Linked DNA regions of Rhinolophus ferrumequinum. The protein of the gene in region 1 purifies or fractionates together with the protein of each later gene. This does not show direct contact. Links are inferred from orthologs where the notes say so. Each region holds a gene or a part of one and is shown on either strand. Other genes may lie near its edges.

Evidence for each region. Proteins that work in one complex are often made in the same cells at the same time.
Region 2: the proteins of FIP1L1 (region 1) and P4HA2 purify together in Homo sapiens (co-immunoprecipitation; 3 studies listed by BioGRID and IntAct, with this or other methods). This does not show direct contact. The link is inferred for Rhinolophus ferrumequinum from reciprocal best matches to the Homo sapiens genes FIP1L1 and P4HA2.
Region 3: the proteins of FIP1L1 (region 1) and CSTF2T purify together in Homo sapiens (co-immunoprecipitation; 3 studies listed by BioGRID and IntAct, with this or other methods). This does not show direct contact. The link is inferred for Rhinolophus ferrumequinum from reciprocal best matches to the Homo sapiens genes FIP1L1 and CSTF2T.

What each region holds. Positions count from the first base shown.
Region 1 is NC_046288.1:15,959,407-15,966,726, reverse strand, and holds the start of FIP1L1 (pre-mRNA 3'-end-processing factor FIP1), read right to left. Parts: upstream 3,003-7,320; 5' UTR 2,779-3,002; coding exon 2,694-2,778; intron 1,540-2,693; coding exon 1,495-1,539; intron 1,392-1,494; coding exon 1,352-1,391; intron 1-1,351.
Region 2 is NC_046307.1:8,586,867-8,594,664, forward strand, and holds the start of P4HA2 (prolyl 4-hydroxylase subunit alpha-2), read right to left. Parts: upstream 3,001-7,798; 5' UTR 2,899-3,000; intron 2,814-2,898; exon of another isoform or gene 2,672-2,813; intron 2,340-2,671; 5' UTR 2,202-2,339; intron 1-2,201. UniProt on the Homo sapiens protein: Catalyzes the post-translational formation of 4-hydroxyproline in -Xaa-Pro-Gly- sequences in collagens and other proteins.
Region 3 is NC_046299.1:34,703,146-34,710,069, reverse strand, and holds CSTF2T (cleavage stimulation factor subunit 2 tau variant), read left to right. Parts: upstream 1-3,924; 5' UTR 3,925-4,200; coding exon 4,201-6,108; 3' UTR 6,109-6,473; downstream 6,474-6,924. UniProt on the Homo sapiens protein: May play a significant role in AAUAAA-independent mRNA polyadenylation in germ cells. Directly involved in the binding to pre-mRNAs.

The DNA of each region.
Region 1 (7,320 bases):
TATTAATATTCACTCCCCATTTTGCCCTGTACCCAGTCCTGGCAAAGACTATCTTCTTTCATGGATTTACCTATTCTGTCCATTTAATACAGAATCATATAATATGTAGTCCTTTGTGACTGGCTTCTTCCACTTGGCATGTTTTCAAGGTTCACCCATGCTGTAATACACGAGTACTTCATTCCTTTTTACTGCCAAATAATATTCCACTGTATAAATATGTCACGCTTTATCTATCCCTTCATTATTTGATGGACACAAGTTATTTCTACTTTTTGGCTATTATGAATAATGCTGCTATGAGCATTCATGTACAGCAGGTGCTCAAATAACATCCTTTCGTTCAACATACTTTTGTTATGTTGATGAGATGCTGTAGGAACATAACTGGCTTATTATCAGTGGTAAAATTGGTCTCCTTTTAGGTAGTTTCACTTAAAATCGCAGAACCTATCAATGAAGTGAGGACTGTACAAGTTTTTGTGTGGGTCTGTTTTCATTTCTCTTAAGGTATTTATCTAGGAGTGGAATTCCTGGATCATATGGTAACTCTCTGTTTAATCTTTTAAGAAACTGCCAGATTTTTGCCAAAACAGCTGCACCATTTTACAATCCCACCATCAGTGTATGAGGGTTCCAATTTTTCCATATCGTCACCAACACCTTTTACTGTCTTTTTTATTACAGCCAAATATTTTAAACCCAAATATTCTTTAAAAGCTGTTTTTTTAACCACCTCTTCCCCATTATGCCACACTAAAGAATCTGGTCAGAGCAATGTTAGCATATCCATGGACTTGTATGTGTGATTTGTTTTGAAATTTAGAATAAGTTTCTGGTTCCCTGTACATGTTTTGTAAACAATATTCATACCTTTCTAGTAATCTAATGAAGGGAATCATTAATTCCAGTTTGAATTTAAATAAATACAAAACATTGAAATTACAACCAAAGTACATTATACCATCAGAAATATTAATAAATTGTGAAAGTAGTAAGAGATTACTTTCAAAAATTTTAACTTAAAAATTTTTTTTGGTATCCTAACGGTTATACTGCATACTCCACTGTTGAGCTCACTTAAGGGTAAAAACTTACTTAATAGTGAAAAGTATTTAAACCCCTACTTCAAAAACTTCGTCCCCTATGCTACTAGCAAATAAACAGACTGGTTTAAGAATAGGTCCTGCAATAGGAATAAACTGCAAAGGATTCATTGTCTTCCAACCTATATTCAAAACGCTGTAATCAAACCAAACCAATGATTGTAATGAAATAATTATGGTAATGTGTTGCTAGAATCACTGTTTCATACAACCTGTGTTAAGTATCAACAAGAAATTTCACTAACCTGGCATTCTCTTCTTCTGGCCTTTCAACTTCATTTTCATCTACCAAAAAGAATACATAAATAAATAAATACAATTAACAAACAAACTACTCTTAAAGAAACCAGTATTATGAAAATCTGAAGTGATCATCACAAGCACTAACCTAGGTCCTTTGCCAAATCACTGTGCACATGCACGTCCCATGGGCCTATAAGCACATCCAAAGTTAGATCACCTTATAATGACTTAACAAGATATGTCTTTCATGAAAAATAAAAATAAAATCAGACTTGACTTCTATAAAAATAAACTTAACAGGTATTCAAGACTTCTAGATCTTTGTAAAAGAAACCCTATACATTTACATTCTAAAGTATTCCTAATGCTAAATCTTTCCACTAAAGATACTTATTTTACAGGTTGATGAAAATCCAAGTTTGTCAGTCACATCATCAAGGAGCTAGCCGCATAGTGGCCAAACGTTTTTCACTACACTATTCTAAAGACAATCAAGAATATACATTTTAGACGAGGAACAAATATTAACTTTCAAATCTAATATCGATTAACAGGCAAGAAGGGACTATGGCTTAATAAAAATTAAACAGATGTCTAAAAAAGTCCCTTTCAAAAAGTACAAGATGCACTAAATTTATTTCGAGAAAAGAAACACGAGATGACAGTGAAAACTATAAACCTAAGGGACACATGGTACTTCTATAGTGTGGTTTAAAGAGCAATCTCTTAAATAAGAAAAACTTCACCTTAATACAGGAGACATTCGGGGTTCTCTTTATGGGCCATAATGTATTCCATCTCTTTCTCTCTCTTTTAATTAATTATTTTTAAAGCACGACTTTCAGACAAGGAGGTACCCTTGCAGGTGCATTCCATACAAACTGACCATCAAGAAACAAGACGTTAGTTTTATGGCATCGACTTTATTTAGCTATTATTACAGAATGATTGTTTCTGAAAAAAGCGACAGGAAGGGCATCCTACAGCCAAGGGGTAAGAAGAGACACAGCGACACTACTCAATCGATATAAAAAACAAGAGGAAAGAGCGCGAAGGCGAGGCGGCCGAGAAGCCCCGGCGGGGAGGCGGGAGAGACTGGAGGCCTGGCCCCGCGACCCCGGTCGGATCCCCGCCGCCACGATTCGGGTGAGTGTTGGGAGCCCTTCGCAGGGCGAGAGGAGGCCGAGGGGGCGGGGAGACGCGCACACCGCGCTCCGCCTGACTTAGGCCGGACGAGAGGCCCCAGACGGCAGCGTGAGAGGCCTGGGACGCCGACCGTTTGTGGGCCAGGAGGGGAGGCCTGAGAGAACCCAGGAGAGAGAGAAAGGACAGGAAGTTCCGTACCGCCATAGAGCCACTCTTCCTCCTCATCCCCTCCGGTCCCGCCGCTCAGCTCCGACACTAGGCGCTCGACCTCGCCGGCCGACATGGCCGCCCCGAGCACAACTTAAAGGCGGCGGTCAACAGACCCCTCCAACCCCTTCCCCAGCCTCGCTGCCCGACGGTGCGAGAGGGGCACGAACCCGCCGGCGACCAAAGAAAGGCTAAAACTCCAATCCACTGGAGGCGGCCACAGCGCCGGAGGCGGCAAAGAAGTCTCCGATATTGACCCGCCTGCGCACGCGCAGCAGCAGACGAGCGGCGCGAGGTCTTTAGGTGAATTCGCTTCCGCAGAGGCGGCCAGCTGGGCCTCTTTGCGCGTGCGCACCGTAGTTGGCCCCGCCCCTATGGAATCCCGCTTAGCCTTTTTAGCGTTGATTTCTCCCTGGTAAACTAGGGTTTCCCTCCCCCAGCCGTTTTCTAATAACCCATATTGCCTTTCCCTGTGAGTACTCCATTGTTCCCTTCTGCCCTTGATGCTTTATTTTCTCAACCATTTTTGCTGTCTTTTAATTTTCTGAAAGGCCTTATTTTATTCTCTACGTGTTGTATCACCCTTGATACAGAATCGTTAACTTCAGTCCCTTTTTTCTCACTAAATAGAGAAGAAATCATAATTCATGGCCATTTTCTTGAAAAATTAATTTTAACAGCAAACAAAAATTTTAACATATAGGTAATGCATTCTCCTTGTTAAAATAAAGCATTATAATTAAGTTCAAAGATCCCCTCATCTACTACGTTCCTTTCTGGAGGCAGCCCTTGTTTTTTTGTGTGTGTGAATCATTCTGAAACTTTTTATACATTTACTTCATGTAGATTGTATTGTTTTTGTGGGAGAAATTGAGGTTAACTAGTCTTAAAGGATACAATACTGTATGTATTCTGCAGATCGCTTTTTTTTTTTAACTCAACAGTGTGTTAAAGATCCTTGTGTGTTAGTACATATGTGTCAAACTATGTCCATTTTTAAGTGCTTCATAATATTCTATAGCATAGCTCTCATAAAATGATGTACAATTGCTTTCAACTTTTCACTTTAACACACAAAAAACCCTACAATGAAGACCTATGTCCATGACTTCTTGCACATTTGTATAATACAAGTGTATATGTCATAAAGTATGTGCAGTTTTTAAGTCAATAGATAATGCCAAATTTTCAGGCCACTTTTGAGAACACATCCTTCAAGAAGATGACACATGATGGGTCAAAACTGGTATTCTCGTTCTCAACTATAACATAGTTGCATGACCTCAGGTAATCAACCTTTCTATGCTTCAGTTTTCTCAGCTATAAAATGGGAAATTTGAATGAGATGATCTCTAAAGTCCCTTTTAGTTATGATGTTTTCAAATAGGACACTCACTTTTCAACGGAAAGAAATCTATTTTAATTACAAAAATCAATATGTTTACATACTCTCTAATCAGTAAATATTGTTTTTTCATTTATTTGGCAATTACTGACATCTGCTGTTTAAGAACTTGGAAAATAAAGACATGAGTAAAACATAGCCCCTACCCTCAAAGAGCTCTGTAGAGAAAGGGTGATAAACAACTAACTCTCCTACAAGGGGAAAAGGAGACTATGATACAATAGAAGCACATACAAAGTATTTACATTCCACCAATATGACACCATTTTGTATTATTTAAACAAATCATATGGTTTTAATCCCCTTTACCTTTTTGTTTTGTTTTGTTTTCTATAATTTTTTTTAATTTTATCGGGGAATATTGGGGAACAGTGTGTTTCTCCAGGGCCCATCAGCTCTAAATCGTTGTCCTTCAATCTAGTTGTGGAGGGCGCAGCTCAGCTCCAAGTCCAGTTGCTGTTTTCAATCTTTAGTTGCAGGGGGCACAGCCCACCATCCCATGTGGGAATTGAACCAGAAACTTTGTTGTTGAGAGCTTCCGCTCTAACCAACTGAGCCATCCGGCTGCTCCAATCCCCCTTACCTTTGAACACTCTTCTACCTGCTATTCCCAGTCTCCCGAATCTGTTTAGGATAATCTCTTGCATCCTTCTGAACTCTGTTGCAACATAATCAACTTCATGAATTCTTTCCTGAATTCCACTTTATCTCCTCCCATATTTTTATTCATTCAATAAATATTTATGGAGGCTCCACAAGTGTCAGGAACTCTTCTAGGCTACATATTAATAGATTCGACAGTGAGTAAGACAAAGTCCTCCTCTCATGAAGCTTTCATTCTGAGGAGACAACCACTAAACATATGTCACGCGGTGATAAGGATTATAAAGAAAAGTAAGCAGAATAGGAAGACCCAGAGTGGGGTAATGAAGAGGGATAGGGTGCAATTTTATATCGTGTCAGGAAAAGGCCACTCTGATAAGGTGATACAAGAGCAGAGGCATGAATGGAAAGAAAAAGTAAGCTGGGTAGATTGCTGGATGAAGTCCTATCAGACAGAGGGAGTATGGAAGCGCAAAGGTTCTGGGACAACAACATACTTAGTGTGTTCGAGGAACCCCAAATGTAGCTGAAGAGGGAGGGAGGAAGAGGCTGTAGATGAGGTCAGAGTTATTGGGGAGCGGGCAGGGCAGAGCTAATCACTCCCTTGTAGACCTTGTGCTGCTTCTATGGAATGTGTCCATCACAACATATAGTAATGATTTGACTACATATCTGTATTCCTAAGACTGTTCATTAGACCAAATCCTCCCTCAAATGGAGCGTTTTTTTAATCACTCTCATTCCTGGTATGGTGCCTAGCACTTAGTAGATCTTCTTGGCCTTTACTCACAATAATGGAGTGAAGGTTTTACATTCTCTTTGGGAGTATCATAAGACAATCACTTACAGTCTTGTCTATTTATCTTTCTGTTTATCATTCCGTGAGTGTATAATGAACTTTGGTGGTTTCATGGGAGAACCAATCACCATTTGCTGAGAAGACTTTTTCTCCTTTCAGCTGCCTGAAATGAGCTCGTATTTCAAGGGATTACTTAAACAGAACTGAAGAATTACTGAATAATAACTGATGCATCAGAATTGCCTTCATGGTGGAGGTAGTATTTGATTTAAGCTTTGAACAGGAGGATTTCCACAAGCAGAGAAGCCCATAAATCACTAATAACCAGTCTTAAAAGGCCTCCTCCTTTCTTGCTTCCAAATTGAATTCCTTGCCTGGATAAACTTCCTTAGCTAAAGGTATCTTTATCTTCCTACTCACCAGGGGAGACTTCAAAGAGAGGTAGCTTGATGATACTGTGTAAAATTATGACCTTATCCAACTACAATACTCCATACATTCTGATTATATTTGTGTCCCATTTTATTTTATTTTTCTGTGATCTGTTGGTTCCTGGCAAAACAACAATAACAACAAAGCAACAGTTTTAATATATCTCTAAGAAATACCAAAAGGGAATGCTTAGCAGATGATTAAAATGATGACAAGAGTTAAAACTCAAATAACAGTGCTATGTTCAGTATCTAGCAGATAGTGAGTACTCATAAATGTGTTTTGAATGAATATGTCATTTAGGCCCAACTATGCTATTTGCTGCAAACTTTAAATATGTTGCTTAAATCTCAATATTATTCAGTTTCCTCATCAGTAAAATGATATATTAATATGACATTTTATATTCACTTCTTGGGAAGATAACAAAGCTAAAATTAGGTTTCAAAAATGTCAAAGCATTAGACCAGTTAGAGGCAAGCAGGTAGTGGGTTATGGTGTAGGCCTTTTGTCCTTTCAACAACCTGAATAACCACACACGTGTAAAGGTTTCCTTCTTCTCTAGATACTTCCATCAGGAATTAAGCCTCAATTATCCATCTTCCTATATATTTTGACATATTTTAACACTAAATTTTATATTGCTTGCTGTTTCTGGAAAATTGTATCATCTCCTCTTATAGCTACACTGTTATGTAAACTGCACACTCCTTAATGATGAAAACATTTTTTTTTCTGTAGTTACCAGATCCTGTTTTACAATGTCAAGCACATAGAAAGTGGTTAGTAAATCCTTATGTTGATGATGCATATGGAGGACTTAGAAATGAGGTGCAGAGAGATATGTTTGGTTTTATGAGGAATGGGAAATAATTGTTGGCTATTTTGAGCACAGAAGTACAAATCACATTTAAATGAAGTATATCTGATTGTCTTAAGCATGTAATTTTAGCAGGACTTAATTTGACTCTGCCATAACATCTGAGAACAAGAAGTGGAAGGAAGGAAATTCTGACACATATTATAAAATGGATGAACCTTTAAGGATATTACGCTAAGTGAAATAAGCCAGTCACAGAGGGACAAATATTGTGTGATTCCACATACACGAGATATCTAGAGTAGTCAATTCATAAAAACAGAAAGTAGAATGATGGTTGCCAGGGGTAGAGGGAGGGAGAAATGGGGAGTTGTTTAATGTACATACTGTAGAGTTTCAGTTTCACAAGATGAAAAAATTCTGGAGATTGGTTGCACAACAATGTGAAAATACTTAACACTGCTGAATTGTACCCTTAAAAATGGTTAAAATGGAATTTTATGTTATGTGTATTTTGTCACAATTAAAAAAAACAAACAGACAAATAAACAAAAACATG
Region 2 (7,798 bases), on another chromosome or scaffold:
ATCGATCTCCAGGTCCTAGGACTGCGCAAAGAGATGAAACATTAACTCAGGACAGAATGGAGTCAGGTGCAATGCAGCACAATAGCCAACAGGGAACAACCCTGGAACTGTCAACTACTGGCTCTAAAGCTCACTAAGGCAGGAAAGTTCTCCGGCAAAAGGCCAGACACTGAACCAATACTCTAAGATTTCTAAGATTTCACATATTTCTATGCCTCTGACCTGCTCGCTCTGAGTTCCTACAAGTATGAGGCCTCAGGATCTCAGCCACAGCTTGGCCCTCAGGAATGCCAGGTACAGCACAGGCTACATTCTAGCAAGCACTTCCTGAAAGGTCTAGAGCAGACAGTGGTCTGGGATCGGGCTCAGACATCCTATCTGAGATGAAGAACTTACTCCCCAAACACTTAATCTTCTGCCTTGCAATGACACCACTTGAACAAAAAACTCTCTTCTAGGGCTCCAACAAGTCTAAACCAGACTTTTCACTCCCCTCTGCTCCTTCTGTGGATAAAAACTACATCCCTCATTCCACAGCCCCAGCACAAACCCCAGACGCCACAGGAGCCACCAGCTCTCTCTGCTCTAGGACAGGCTGATGTCCCACCCTGGGGCACTTCAAAAGTCCAAATTGCTAGATTCGAGCAACTTTTTCAGATTAACTCTCGCTCTAGCACTCTGTCCGGGCTTGCACGTGCCTGCATCATAGCATTTCCTGCCAACCTCCATCTGCATAAAATTAAACTCCTGACAGCTCCCAGGAGCCAGGGACACACCCACCAGCCCAATGCACACTATCAGCCAACGTGGCCATAAACCGGCCAAGGTCTTGCATCCAGCCTCAGATCCTCCCAAGATTGTGGGAGGGCAGAGTCAAAAAGTGAGGCTCTCCCCGGAAATGAGTAGACCCCCGATTCCCTCACCCCACTCATTTCTCAGGGCTGCACCCGAGCAGTCTCTCTTTCTAATAAGCACTGACACTCTGCGCTCTTCCTCTGGCACATGGCCAGCTGCCCGTGTAGTGTGAAGCAGCAATCTCAGAGAGATGAGCTACCCACGGGTAAGAACAGTGCCACCACCTCGGCCGCCTCCTCCGCCTCCTCCCTCATTCCGGCCCCAGACATGTTCTAAGCAGAAGCCAGGCACACAGGAGGTACTCAAAGAATAAACACGAGATCAGCTGCAGCCACACTAACCAAGCAACAAAGTAAGCACTCTCCCAGGCACCCCACTTCAGAGCCTGCAAAAGGGCGAAGGGACTACGATCACAAACCACAGACGAGTTGTCACCATGTCTGCCTGCTGAGCTCTCAGAGAACTAGGGTGGCCCAGTATGACAACATTCTGGGCTGAGGCCCCCAGCCAACTCACTCCATCCTTGCTACGTGGCTCCCTTGGCTGGGCTGCACAGTGGACATGTTTGGCCATCTGAGAATAAGAAGACACTAGAAGAATTCACAGCTCAAAGATCTCATGAGTGGGAGCAGTGAACAAAAATGCTGAGTCCTGAGGCCCAGAACCAGTAAGAGACTGGATACTTCAGGGGCAGTTTAAGCACAAGCCAAAGGAAATCTTGGTACATTTAACAGACAAGAACTCAACCATGCAAAAACATTCTATAAACCCTTAGGTGGACAGTGGATCTCTACAAAACCTGAGACGTCTTAGAATACAAAGTGACATTCCCCCAACCCTTGTTCTCGGGCCAGGATCTCCTGCAGGAGGGCTGAGACTGTCAGGCACCAGCCGTAGGTGTCATGACAGCAGAAGACACCAGTCTCAGTCTTGGGAGGGACTCTAATGTTCTTCTACACCATCTTAAAGGTGTCAGATTAGAATGCAGAGGCCAGGCACGCACCTATGCTGTCCTGAAGAAGGAAGCACCCTGATCCACTCTCATGCTGCAGGGTTCACTGAGCACCCTCCACCTGCAGGGCACAGTTCTAGGAACTGTCCTCTCACTTGCAGCTCTTGTGGGTCCATGGGCAGCTATCCCCTAAAGTGTCCCTTCCCGCATCACCTTATTTCCACTAGAGAGCCCAGGTCTACTCCTGCTCACACAGGCTGTTCCTCTGTCCGGGTTACTCTTTACACCATTCCAGCTCATGAGTCACCTCCTCGAGGAAGCCCTCTGGCCTGAAGCATCCTGTCTTCTACCAAGTACCCATAGCCCCTGTGTTCCCTCCCAGCACAACACTCACCACACGGCTCTGAGCTTGGATTTTCTTGGTCTTCCAGTCAGTCTGCCCCACTGGGCTAGCAACCCCTTAGAGTTTCTGACTCACAGAAGGGTCCGTTTGTTGAATTAGTTAAGTCGTTATAACAGGTCTCCGCAGTTGCTGAGGAAAAACAACACAGATTCGAAAGGGATTCTGCAGGGGGGAAAAAAAAACACAAAACTTTCCCATACAACAGCCTGTCTTAATGGGCACCAAGCTGGACCCTGCGGTATCAAAGCACAGACTCCCAGCCCTTTGCCCTCCGGAGGCGGTGAGGTGGACCTCACTAACGTGAAGCTGCCTCTCAGGGCCTGGCCCACGCCCCTGCCTCGTCTCCAACTTGTGGCCTCGGGGCCAGGCCGCCCCTTCCCGGGGAGCCTGACAAGGCAGGGCGGCCAAGTTCCCCGCCTGGCGCGGCCGCCGAGGGGACAGACAGGAAGAGCGCCGCTGACCTTACCACCCTGGGCCCGGGGAGGGGACGCAGGCGGCGGGACAGAAACCCAGACGGGTGTAGAAACAGGGCGGCGGGCGCGGGGCTGCGGCCCGGGCTGCCATGCGAGCGGCGGGACCCCTGGTCCCCTACCCCCTGCCCCGCGCGGGCTCGACGCACCGCCCGGCGACACAGGCCTGCGCCGGAGCCCCGCGGCGGACCCGGAGGCCGAGCCGGCACGGCGCTCACCTGGACACGCGCCGCTCCCGGCGTTTCCAGAACCTCCCGTGGCGGCGCCCGGCCCGCTCAGCACCTCCTCCCTCGGCTGCTCCGCCTCCCGCCGCGGCCGGGCTCCGCCCGCTTGAGCCGCAGCCACGTCCCCACCTCCCGCCCCCGAGCGGGCCGGGCCCCTTGCTCCGCGCGCGGCGAGCTTCGGCCACGGGTCGCCACCGCCAGCGATCCCGGGGAAGGCCCGGGCAGCCCCATGGCGCGGGAGCAGGGAGCGGGCCTCGGGCCAGGCGGGAGCCGCTTGCGCGCCCTTCATGTGGCCCGCCGCCGGCCGCACGTACGCCGCGCCCGCCTCCCCTAACCCGGCTCCCACCTGTGGGACTCGCCCCGCCCTCCTCCCCAGCCCCCGGGCGGCTGCAGAAGGGCCCGCGACCCGATCCTGGAGCCCGTACCTTAAGGGGAGCGTCCCTGGGTGCTGGCGGACTCGCGTGGCCTTAGCTCGTGCCTTGGTGGTCCTCCTGGGTACAGAGGGCTTCTGCCCCCGCCCCCATGATCACCACCGGAAGGTGGGGGGAAAGTGTGCCCGGGAGGGAGCCCGGATAACAGGGGACCGGACACAGCAGTGGAGAACGCCCTGAAGAAGACTAGGTACCTGGTGTCCACCCCCCAGAGTCAAGCTTCCAAAGGGATTCCGACTTCTGGGCCAGGCAGTCCTCCTCCTGATAAATGTGTAGGTGATGGGTTGATGAGAAGGGAGCCCATCATAGACTGGGGGCATGGGAGAGTGTTCGCATACTGAGGCTACCCCTTGGTTTGCCCAATCCCTTCCATATAACATGGGCCAAAAACAGTGGACACTTCTTCAGCCAGTCCAGTCTGGGAGGGAATGAAGGCAGGGATGCAGCAAATCTCAGCCTGAACTGGACCAGGCCCTGGTGGCCAACCAGGTTCCCACGCCTGCTCTGTGAACCTTCCTGGACGTGAATGATGGGAAACACCATCTGAGAATCTCATCAGGGAGCTTGCCCAGAGTGGGAGGTGTCCAGCTTCTGCCCAGGCCTTATGAGGATGTTCCCTATACACACTTTCCAGGCTGGCAGTCCAGACCAGGGGAAGGCACGAGTACACACACAGAAATACACACAACACACATAAAAAACGGAATGAGCCTCTGTTTGGACTTGCGTCAGCCACTAGCCAGAGCTCAGCTAAAACCAAACAGAAACCTTCCTGCATCTGCTACATCCTGTTATGCCACCCTGTCTGCCCAGATCCTCCCATCCTGTCCCCTGTCTCGGGAGCTTGCCCTGTGGATAATCCTTTCTCCCTCCTGAATGTTCAGCCTCCCCCTTTCAACTGGATCCTTCCCTTGACCTATAAATATATTCAAGCCTGTACTATAGAAGGAAAAGAAACAAAAACCCTCGTTCGACCCCACCAACTATTGCAGGGTCTCTCTCCTCAACCACAGCAAAGTCCCCTGAGAGAGTGGTCTGTCTCCTCATCCTCACTTCCCTCCCATCCCTCAGCTACCTTCAGTGGGCCTTCTGGCCCGCTCACAACACCAAACCAGGTCTCAGTAAACTCTCTGTAACTTCCAAGGTCCTACATTCAACAACTACTCTTCAGTCCTCATCTGCTGAAGCCCCCAGCGGCGTTTGACACTCCCACAGAGTCCGACCACTGCCATCCTGGAACACTCATGTCCCTTGGTTTTCCACCACTCTCTCTAGCCCCCTCTGCCCACCCTCCACCCCCGACCCCCACCCAGCACATCCTCCTCTCCCCTTCTCCCCGTTAGTCAGTAAAGGTTGGGAGTTCCTCAAAGCTCAGACCAAGGCGCTGTACTTCCCTCTTCTCTTTCTATAATTTCTTCCTATACACAGATCACGCACAAATTTCTCTCTCTACGCTTCCCCTGACTCTTGAACTCCAGAATTACATAATTCACTGAAGAGTCTTACATCTCCACTTGAGCGTCCATAGGCATCTCAATTGCAACATGTCCAGCAGCGAGTTCATGCTTTCTCCCTTCCCCCTCCAGGCCTCCCGTATTCCCTGCTTCACCGAAGGAACTCCCCCCCACCCCATCCCACCCCCCATCCCACCCCGCATTGGTTACCTAACCAGAAGCCTGGAAATCATGCTCAGCACCACCTGCCTCACCCCTAGACCCTATCCTTCCATATCCCATGTCCGTTCAGTCCTACTACCTAAAACTTTCTCTACTCCATCCATTTCTCTCCAGTTTCCTGGCTGGCTGCTCCTCTCCATTCTTGTTTTCTCCCACCTCCCCTCTGCACTGCAGCCAGAGTGATCTCAATATGCAGATCTGAGCCCATCACTGTCAGCTTAGTAAATTGCATTGTTCTTAGGGAAAACCCTAAAAGTGGTCTATAAGGCCCCACATGGTTTGGTCCCTGCTCACTTCTCTAGACACACTGACCTCCTCCAGTCCTTCCAGCCATTCTCCCCCCCACCCTCTGCCACCCAGTCTCAGGCCTTTGCATATGCTGTTCCTTCTATCTAGAAAAATTTCCTTCCTTCCCAATTAAACCCTCCTGATGCCCTCAGAGGGATTTTCCTCACTTCCCTGACCAGGTCAACACATCCTAGAACAGCCTCTCATGCCCTGTGTGCTTTGTAGGACTTGCCACAGTTGATGTAGTTGAATCATTGTTTGATTAATATCTACCCCACCATCACCACCACCTGGCCTGGGAGCTCCAGGAATATGTCAGTTATATGTGTTTTTGCCCATCATCATATCCTCAGCCCCTACCGCAAATAAATGTTTGCTGCCTACATGAAACGATGCGTGTCTCTTTAACGCCTTGTTCCACACAGCAGTAGCCAAAGGACTGACTAAGGCCTCCACAAGGCCTCAGAGTCCGGGACCCACCCCACCCCCATTCCTCAGTGTCTGCATCTTCTCTTCTCTTCTAAGGATACTTTTCATTGGATTTAGGGCTCACCCATGTAATGAGAATAATTTCATCTCATAATTCTTCATTATATCTGCTAAATGCCTTTTTCCAAATACGATCACATTCACAGGGTCCAGGCCACATGGACATATCTTTTTAGGGGCCACTATTCAACCATCTACATCTGAAATTCCCTCATGCCCTCCAGGAGCTACTGGGCCCATGTAAATCCATGATTCTAGGTTCTGAATCTCTAGCCCAGGTCTGCTCCAAACCCACATAGTCTTTTCTTTGTGGCCACTTGATAGACAAACTCATTATCTCCCCACACCCTACCCACGCCACCCAAAATGTTCCTGCTCCAGCATTTCCCATACCTCAGGAAATGAAATCAACATCTCCCAGTCGTTTCCATTTTCTTCCCCACCACATTCCCCCATTGTAGATATTACCTGGTGGGTCTCTCAGTTCACTTACTGCTCTCCATTCCTGCAGCCACAGTCCAAATTCAGGACACCATCATCTCCCACCTGGACAGTCCATCCTGGCCCACAGCTTCCATTCAACTCCCCCTAGCCTAATTCCACTCGGTAGGCAGAGTGATATTCTAACAATATGATTGTGATCATGTCAATTCCATATATAGAACCTCTCAAAGGTGTCCCTGATGGCCTCTCTTACCATGTGCAGCCTCAAACTCAATGATCCAGCGCCCAGGGCATTTTTCAGTTCCATGGCCTTTGACTGTGTCATTCTTCCTGTTTAGAACACTCCTCCCCAAAAAGATTGTTCCCAAAGAAAGCCTTCTCTGGGCCCAGCCTGAGCCAGATCTCTGTATAGACCCTCTAGCTCCTTATGGATGAATTTCGTACATGCTACCTGACATCCACGTCTACTTCCTTCACCATTTTGCCTTCCCAGGGAGGTGGGCTGCCTCTGTCTTGTGCATCACTGTGTCTCCAGCTCTAGCATAGGGCCTGGCACCCAGGACCTGGACAGGGAGTTGGGAACAAAAATACATGAATGAATGAATGAATAAATGAATGAATGAATGAATGAACATCCCACCCATTATTGTGGCCTCCAGCAGACATCACTAAATACACCCATTGTGTGTCACTTAATGAATCAACAGCCATTTGGGGAAACACTCATTTTCCCCAAATCCATTGTGTGAACAAAGCCACACCTCCCTTCTTGTTTGGGTTCTATTGTGTTCATTCATGCATTCACTCCACAAACATTTGCTGGGTACCACTTGAAGCCCTGGCTGGCGATTCAGGGACCACAAATATCAAATAAGCTCTGTTTAGTGGGGAAAACTAGCAGGAGAACAGAGGTCCATACAGCAACCTTGTCTAAGGAGGGAAAAGTCCAGCCCTTTCCGACTGGTGAAGGCTTGTGGAAAGAGGTACTGCCTGCTTAGTCCCAGTCCTAGAGACCCTCCACAGGCTCACGATCAGGTATGGACTGCCACTTTTGACTCCAGCATAGCTAGGAGCATTGCCAACTGGGGCCCTACTCCCATGTTGCCCCAAGTGGTATCCCTGGCCAATGGCTCCTCAAAGCAGGCTAAAATTGTCTCCCCACCACCTCCACCTCAAGGGAATGACCTGGTGTTTCTCCAGAAGGAATGGCAAAAATATCTGTGCTGGGTGGACAGGTAACTGAATGAATGGGAGGGCAGGTGGGGTGCAGGCTTTCCCTCTCACCAGAGGCCTCCTCAGCCTGCCCTGCCCCTGCCTTCCCCACTCACCTGTGACCCCCTCCCTGGGGAAGGGATGGGGGCAGGCTTCCACCACTCAGTGCTGAGGCCTCCCTGACTGCTGATGACTCCTGCCGGCCCTGGCGACCGCCACAGCAGCTGGAGGATTGGTCAGGGTTTATAAGAACCTGGTCATTCCATGGAATTCCCCAGACCAGAGTCCCCAGGATCGACCAATGCCACACAGCCACACAGAGGGAATTATACATGTTGACACGCATCTATACCT
Region 3 (6,924 bases), on another chromosome or scaffold:
CATTTGACTTCTGTAAGTACAAGAGGTGCTCAAAGTGGTTACCATCAGCATTCAGACATTTCTGATTACGGCAAACTATCGCTTGAGCAACGCTCACAAAGTGTCCACTCATATACATTTTTTTGGCACCCCCGGTATTTATGGAATAAAAGAATTAATATAAGGCACTTTGTTGATTGACAAGAAGAATCCATCTTTGCTCTTTCCTTGAATGATATGGTTTACTAAAAGGTAGAAAAGTTACTCTCATTCGCCAGGTACAGATAAAGAATGGTTTATATCCAAAGAAAAATGAACTTACTTCCAATCTAGAGGAAGGAGGAAGAAGATTAAAGAGAACTTTGTGTAGGAGTGTATTTTGATCTATCTCTGTGTATAGGGACCCACACATTTATTTCAAAAATGTCATAACTAAAAATATTTTTTAGTACCTCTCTTTGGAATCTAATTAATCTATAGTGAATCTCTGTTAGTATGCTCAAAGGATACAGAATCTTTATATTCTGATGTATGTCTTGATATTTGGAAAGAGCTAATATATTTTTACCACATCTGGTCAGACATTTAGGTGATTTAGTTACATAACTCTGTTCTTGGTTGAAAACAAGGTATACCTTCGAGTTAAGGCACCAGTTTTCTAGTATGACATAAAAATGGAGCCCTAAAACAACTTTAGAATAGGACTTTAGAAATCATTTTGAACAACAGAAGTCCAAATGGATTAAGTTTCCAGTTTCTGAAGGTGATTAGTTTGAAGGATAGCCCCCATTTGGCCATATGCCTTGATGTGTTTGTTTAAAAATCACTCTTAGTACAGCTGATATTTTGATTTATTGGATCAATGCCTGAACATGCAAGATGCCACATCCATTTTTCTTCAGAGTATATGTCATGCTATAAATATCTAAACTTTAAACATTATGGGAACAAAAAAAGCAGTATAAAATGTAAGTTCTTCCAGGGTAAACCTATGATGCTACCAGGAAATGTACATAGGTTCCTAAAAGCTCTTTGTAATTCTGGGCCACTCAGTTAATAATAAATATTAGTTTATTGGTCCTGAGCATTGAGCTATGTGCTGGAACACACTGGTCTTCTATGGAGAAGACCATATCAAACCATGTATGGTTTTCTAAGGAGAAGGCCATATCTTCTAGGGAGCCATATCAAACCATTCTTCTAGTTTGGAATATGAGGACTAAAGAGAACATGGAAGACCGATGACAAAAAGGCTTCTTCCCTCTTGTTCATCCCCAGTCCCTCAGCTATTCTGTTCACACATCCTTTGAACCCAGGGTATCTTCAGAGTGGGATCAGCATGTACTAGTGTTACTAGATCAGCATTAAAGTATTAATAATTTTTAAAGACCATCCATATCTTATACTTTTTAACAGAGTGCACTAAATTTTGTCCTGATACAAATGATGAAAACAAAAGTGGATAAACACTTCAAGTCCCTTTGTTTAGAACAATGATTCTTAAAGTGAAATCCCCTAACCAGCAGCGTCAGCATCACCTGGGAACTCGTTAGAAATGCAAATTCTCCACTCCTACCTCAGAAATATTGAGTCCGAATTGGGGAGGAGAGGTGAAGAGACCCAGCGATCTGACTTAAGCCATGGATCCAGGTGGTTCTGATGTATGCTAACGTATGAAGACCGCTGGTTTAGCTATTATCAGAGCATCAGTAAAGAAACTGTCACGTCAGGGCGGCGGGTTGGCTCAGTTGGTTATAGTGCAGTGTTTATAACACCAAGGTTGTCGGTTCAATTCCCACATGGGCCAGTGAGCTGTGCCCTCCACAACTAGATTGAAAACAACGACTTGACTTGGAGGTGATGGGTCCTGGAAAAACACACTGTTCCCCAATATTCACCAATAAAAATTACAAAAAAACAGCAACTGTCAGATAAGCTGTGCAACCTTTTATGAACTTTATAATTTATCCTAATAGCCTATTGCTATCTTCATGATTACTACATTTAACATACACACAATTTCACACATAATTGTCTGACCGAATGTGTGTAAAAAAGTCATGGCTTCTCTCCTTAAAGAGATAGTATGGAAAGGAGACAAATGTACTTGTTTTTAGTTTTCCAAAATGACATCTTCCTCAACTCCCTTCCACCTCCACCCTGCCTCCAATAAAAGAATCAGGGGGGAAAACCATTACTACTAGGCTCTATTCTGTTTCTTTTGATAGAGCAGAAAGATTTTAATAGGTGATATAAATGCACTTTATCACTTGCAGATATCAGTTACAATGTGTCTTGCGTGAATAGCTATGTCCAAGTCTGTTTTAAAGAACAATTAAAACATTTGAAGGTAAATGAAGGCTTCACCATATTTGTAGCTAAACCTCATACTCATTTCAGATATATTCATTGGACATAGGTTCCTAATAGCTCTTTGTAATTCTGGCCACTCAGTGATGATGATACTCAAGACACATAAAACAATTTTTGATGAAACAAAGTTTCATAATCCCCTCAAAAAGCATACGTAGTTACTCTAGTCTTTGTAATGATTCTATGTTTAGTAGTTAAAACTCAGGCTCTGGAGCAGTGCAGTCCACAAACATATAATGTAATCCATATATGTAATTTTAAGTTTTCTAAGCAACCACATTTTAAAAAGTAAAATGAGAGATAAATTATATTTTGTTTAATCCTACATATTAAAAATATTACTTCGACATGTAAATAATATAAAGTTAATGATATAATTTTACACTTTTTATAGTCTTTAAAATCTTCCATGTACTTTACACATACGGCACACTTCAATTAGGATGCTAAATTTTCACAAGAAATACTTGATTTTCATTTAGATTTCATAAAATTTATCATTGCTAAAGTACATTCTAAACCCAACTTGTTTCAAACACACCAAAAAGTTTTCCAGTAGCCTCGCTGAGTATCAGTTTTTATTTCACATCAATAAAAAATAAATACAATTAAAATTTCAATTTAGCAGTCACACTGCCATATTTCCAGTACTCGAGAGCTCCAAGTGGCTAGTGGCTATCAATTGGGGCAGCGCAGCTCTGGAGCTGCCAGACCATACCTGGATGAGAATTCTGGCTTTGCCATTTAGTGGTTGCCTAGCAAATTACCTAGCCCTCTCCAAGCTTCAGCTCTACCAGTTCTGTCGTGTGTAGTAGGTGGGGGTAAAAAACCCCACTCCATTATGTATACTCAACTTCTGCCGTCAAAATTAACAGCATAATAGAAACAAATAGTTTGTTTTTTGTTTCATAGTAGTGGTTTTGAAATTACCTATTACTTCACTTTACAGTTATCAGACCAATCTAAATGCCTACAAGGTAAGAAAGGTTAAATTTAATTCATACTCTGCAGCCATAAAATGCTATTTATTGTTAATCATTCATATTAATATCGGTTAAAGAAAACAAGTAGTATTATGCATAGCTCCACTGCTGCCTGCGCGCACAAAGAAAAACTTGAAGGGACCGGCCGCCTATCAACGGCTGTGTTCCTAAGCAACGCGATGGGGCGGGGCTGGAGCTGGCACACATTCGGCTTGTTTCTGGGCAGTTTATTTTCCCAAACTGTTGTGTTTTTTTTTTTCCTAAAACGGAGCTATAAATTTTGTATTTGAAGGAGAAAATCCCAAATCTGTTTTGAAACGACACTTTTCACTTGAAGTCTGGAATGTGATTTTAAATGTAGCTTACATATACTATAATAATGAGAAACTGCTATGTGCAAACACTCGTATCAGAAGGAGGAACGAGCTGCCTCAATCCGTTTTCAGTTGGCGGTTTCCCGCCGGTCAAACGGAAGCAAAACCCGCTCTGACGTAAAGGGAGGCGGCCTCTCCTTGTTACCATGGTGAAGTCTATGCGGCCATCTTTACTGTGGTTAACGCGCACCAAACTTTCCCTGGCGGGGGTGGTGCCGCGCCACGAAAGTCTGCGGAATCAGAGGCGAAAATGGAATTATGAGTCTCAGAAATAAGGTGCTGACAGAACCACGTACGACCAGGATCAGAAACCATTAGCTAATGTAGTGGAACGTAGAGGTGCAGATTCCACCGAAAAGCGGAACGATGTAAACGGACGTGTGACGTTTCTGCCCGGATTTGGAGAGCCGCTTCCGTTGCTCAGCGGAAGTGTCGGTGGCAAGAACAGCCTGGGAAGAATCCGCTCACCGCCGTTTTGAACAGCCGGAATCATGTCGAGTTTGGCGGTGAGAGACCCGGCAATGGATCGATCACTGCGTTCCGTGTTCGTGGGGAACATTCCGTATGAGGCGACTGAGGAGCAGTTAAAGGACATTTTTTCGGAGGTTGGTTCTGTTGTCAGTTTCCGGCTGGTATACGACAGAGAGACGGGAAAACCCAAGGGTTATGGTTTCTGCGAGTACCAAGACCAGGAGACCGCGCTTAGTGCCATGCGGAACTTGAATGGGCGGGAGTTCAGCGGGAGAGCGCTTCGGGTGGACAATGCTGCCAGTGAAAAGAACAAGGAGGAGTTAAAGAGCCTAGGGCCTGCTGCGCCCATCATTGACTCCCCGTATGGGGATCCCATCGATCCAGAAGATGCTCCTGAATCAATTACCAGAGCAGTCGCTAGTCTCCCTCCGGAGCAGATGTTTGAGCTGATGAAGCAGATGAAGCTCTGTGTCCAAAACAGTCACCAGGAAGCTCGAAACATGTTACTTCAAAACCCTCAACTGGCTTATGCGCTGTTGCAGGCACAAGTTGTGATGAGAATCATGGATCCAGAGATTGCTCTAAAAATTCTTCATCGCAAGATACATGTCACACCACTGATCCCAGGCAAATCTCAGTCTGTGTCTGGTCCCGTCTCTGGCCCTGGCCCTGGCCCTGGACTCTGCCCAGGACCCAATGTTTTGCTGAACCAGCAGACTCCTCCAGCACCTCAGCCTCAGCATTTGGCTAGAAGACCTGTGAAAGATATTCCTCCTCTGATGCAGACCCCTATCCAGGGTGGAATTCCAGCCCCCGGGCCAATACCAGCTGCAGTTCCTGGACCTGGTCCTGGTTCCTTAACTCCTGGTGGAGCAATGCAGCCTCAAGTTGGAATGCCAGGGGTTGGCCCAGTGCCTTTAGAGCGGGGACAGGTGCAGATGTCAGATCCTAGAGCTCCTATGCCTCGTGGACCCATGACTGCTGGTGGCCTGCCTCCTAGAGGACTGTTAGGAGATGCTCCAAATGACCCACGTGGAGGGACTTTGCTTTCAGTCACTGGAGAAGTTGAGCCCAGGGGCTATCTTGGGCCACCACATCAGGGTCCACCCATGCACCATGCCCCTGGTCATGACAGCCGTGGCCCTTCCTCACATGAGATGAGGGGAGGGCCATTAGCCGATCCCAGACTGCTAATTGGAGAGCCCAGAGGACCCATGATAGATCAAAGGGGTCTACCTATGGATGGCAGAGGTGGTAGAGATTCTCGAGGGATGGAGACCCGAGCCATGGAAACTGAGGTCTTAGAGACACGAGTGATGGAGAGAAGAGGAATGGAGACCTGTGCAATGGAAACCAGAGGGATGGAAGCAAGAGGCATGGATGCAAGAGGAATGGAGATACGAGGCCCTGGCCCCAGTTCGAGAGGCCCTATGAACAGTGGAATCCAGGGTCCTGTTCCCATTAATTTGGGGGCAGGTGGTCCTCAGGGACCCAGGCAGGTCCCAAGCATTTCAGGGGTGGGAAATCCTGGATCTGGTATGCAGGGGGGAGGCATACAAGGAGCAGGCATGCAGGGGGCAGGCATGCAGGGAGCAGGTATACAGGGAGCTGGCATACAAGGAGCAGGCATGCAAGGAACAGGCATGCAAGGAGCAGGCATACAAGGAGCGGGCATACAAGGAGTGGGCATGCAGGGGGCAGGCATACAAGCAACAGGCATACAGGGGTCTGGCAAGCAAGGTGGAGGTCAGCCTAGCAGTTTTAGTCCTGGGCAGAGCCAAGTAACTCCACAGGATCAAGAAAAGGCAGCTTTGATCATGCAAGTTCTTCAACTGACTGCAGATCAAATTGCCATGCTGCCTCCTGAGCAAAGGCAGAGTATCCTGATTTTAAAGGAACAAATCCAGAAATCTACTGGAGCTTCTTGAAAGGTTTAAAAAATGCTTGGCAGTATCCCAGAAAGTTTTTGGTTTTTTTGTTGTTGTCGTTTGTTGTTGTTGCATGGAGAATGGCTGCAAAAAGCTAACTTCTGCATCCCCTGTACTTGAATGATTAGGATTTCCCTCCTGCCAGAACTAATCTCATTTCTTTTTGTTGTCTTTTTTTTCTGTTTTCCTTTTTATTTTTAATGGGGGCGGGGGGGGCGCTAGGAGTAAGAGGGAGTGGTCTGTTCACTTTAATTCACTATAAATACACAAAAAATAATTCTGAAAATAATTATATTATGCCAAATAAGATTACAAAGAATATGCAGCAATATTAAAAGTGTCTGCAATATGTTTACTACATTTTTTTTTCAAATATTGAGTAAAACGATGTGAAATCTGCACATAAAGACTAAAAGATGACCTGTTAAAATGGTAATGAACCAAGATAGTTTAAGATTTTTAGTTGCGTAAGAAAATAAAGAAGTTTACCTCAAAATTATAAGATATATTTTTGGTAAGTCATTTACAATACAAAATCCTACTTGTGGGGCAGTAGAATGCTGTATTAGGTTAAGCACTGTTTTAGTGCTTTGAAATTATTTTGAAACGTTAGAGCTAACAGGATAAGTCTAAATTTGTGGTATTGGAATTGTTCTTTTCTGAAGTGATGCTACCTGAAAAATCAAGGAATGCATCTAGTGTGATGTTCCATTCATCTCACTCTTACGAGACCAGCCGTATTCTGGCCTGGCCCTGAACGTGGTTTTGCTGGGGCAGTTCTAGGATCATCCAGGTTACTTAAGTTGGCTCTGATGA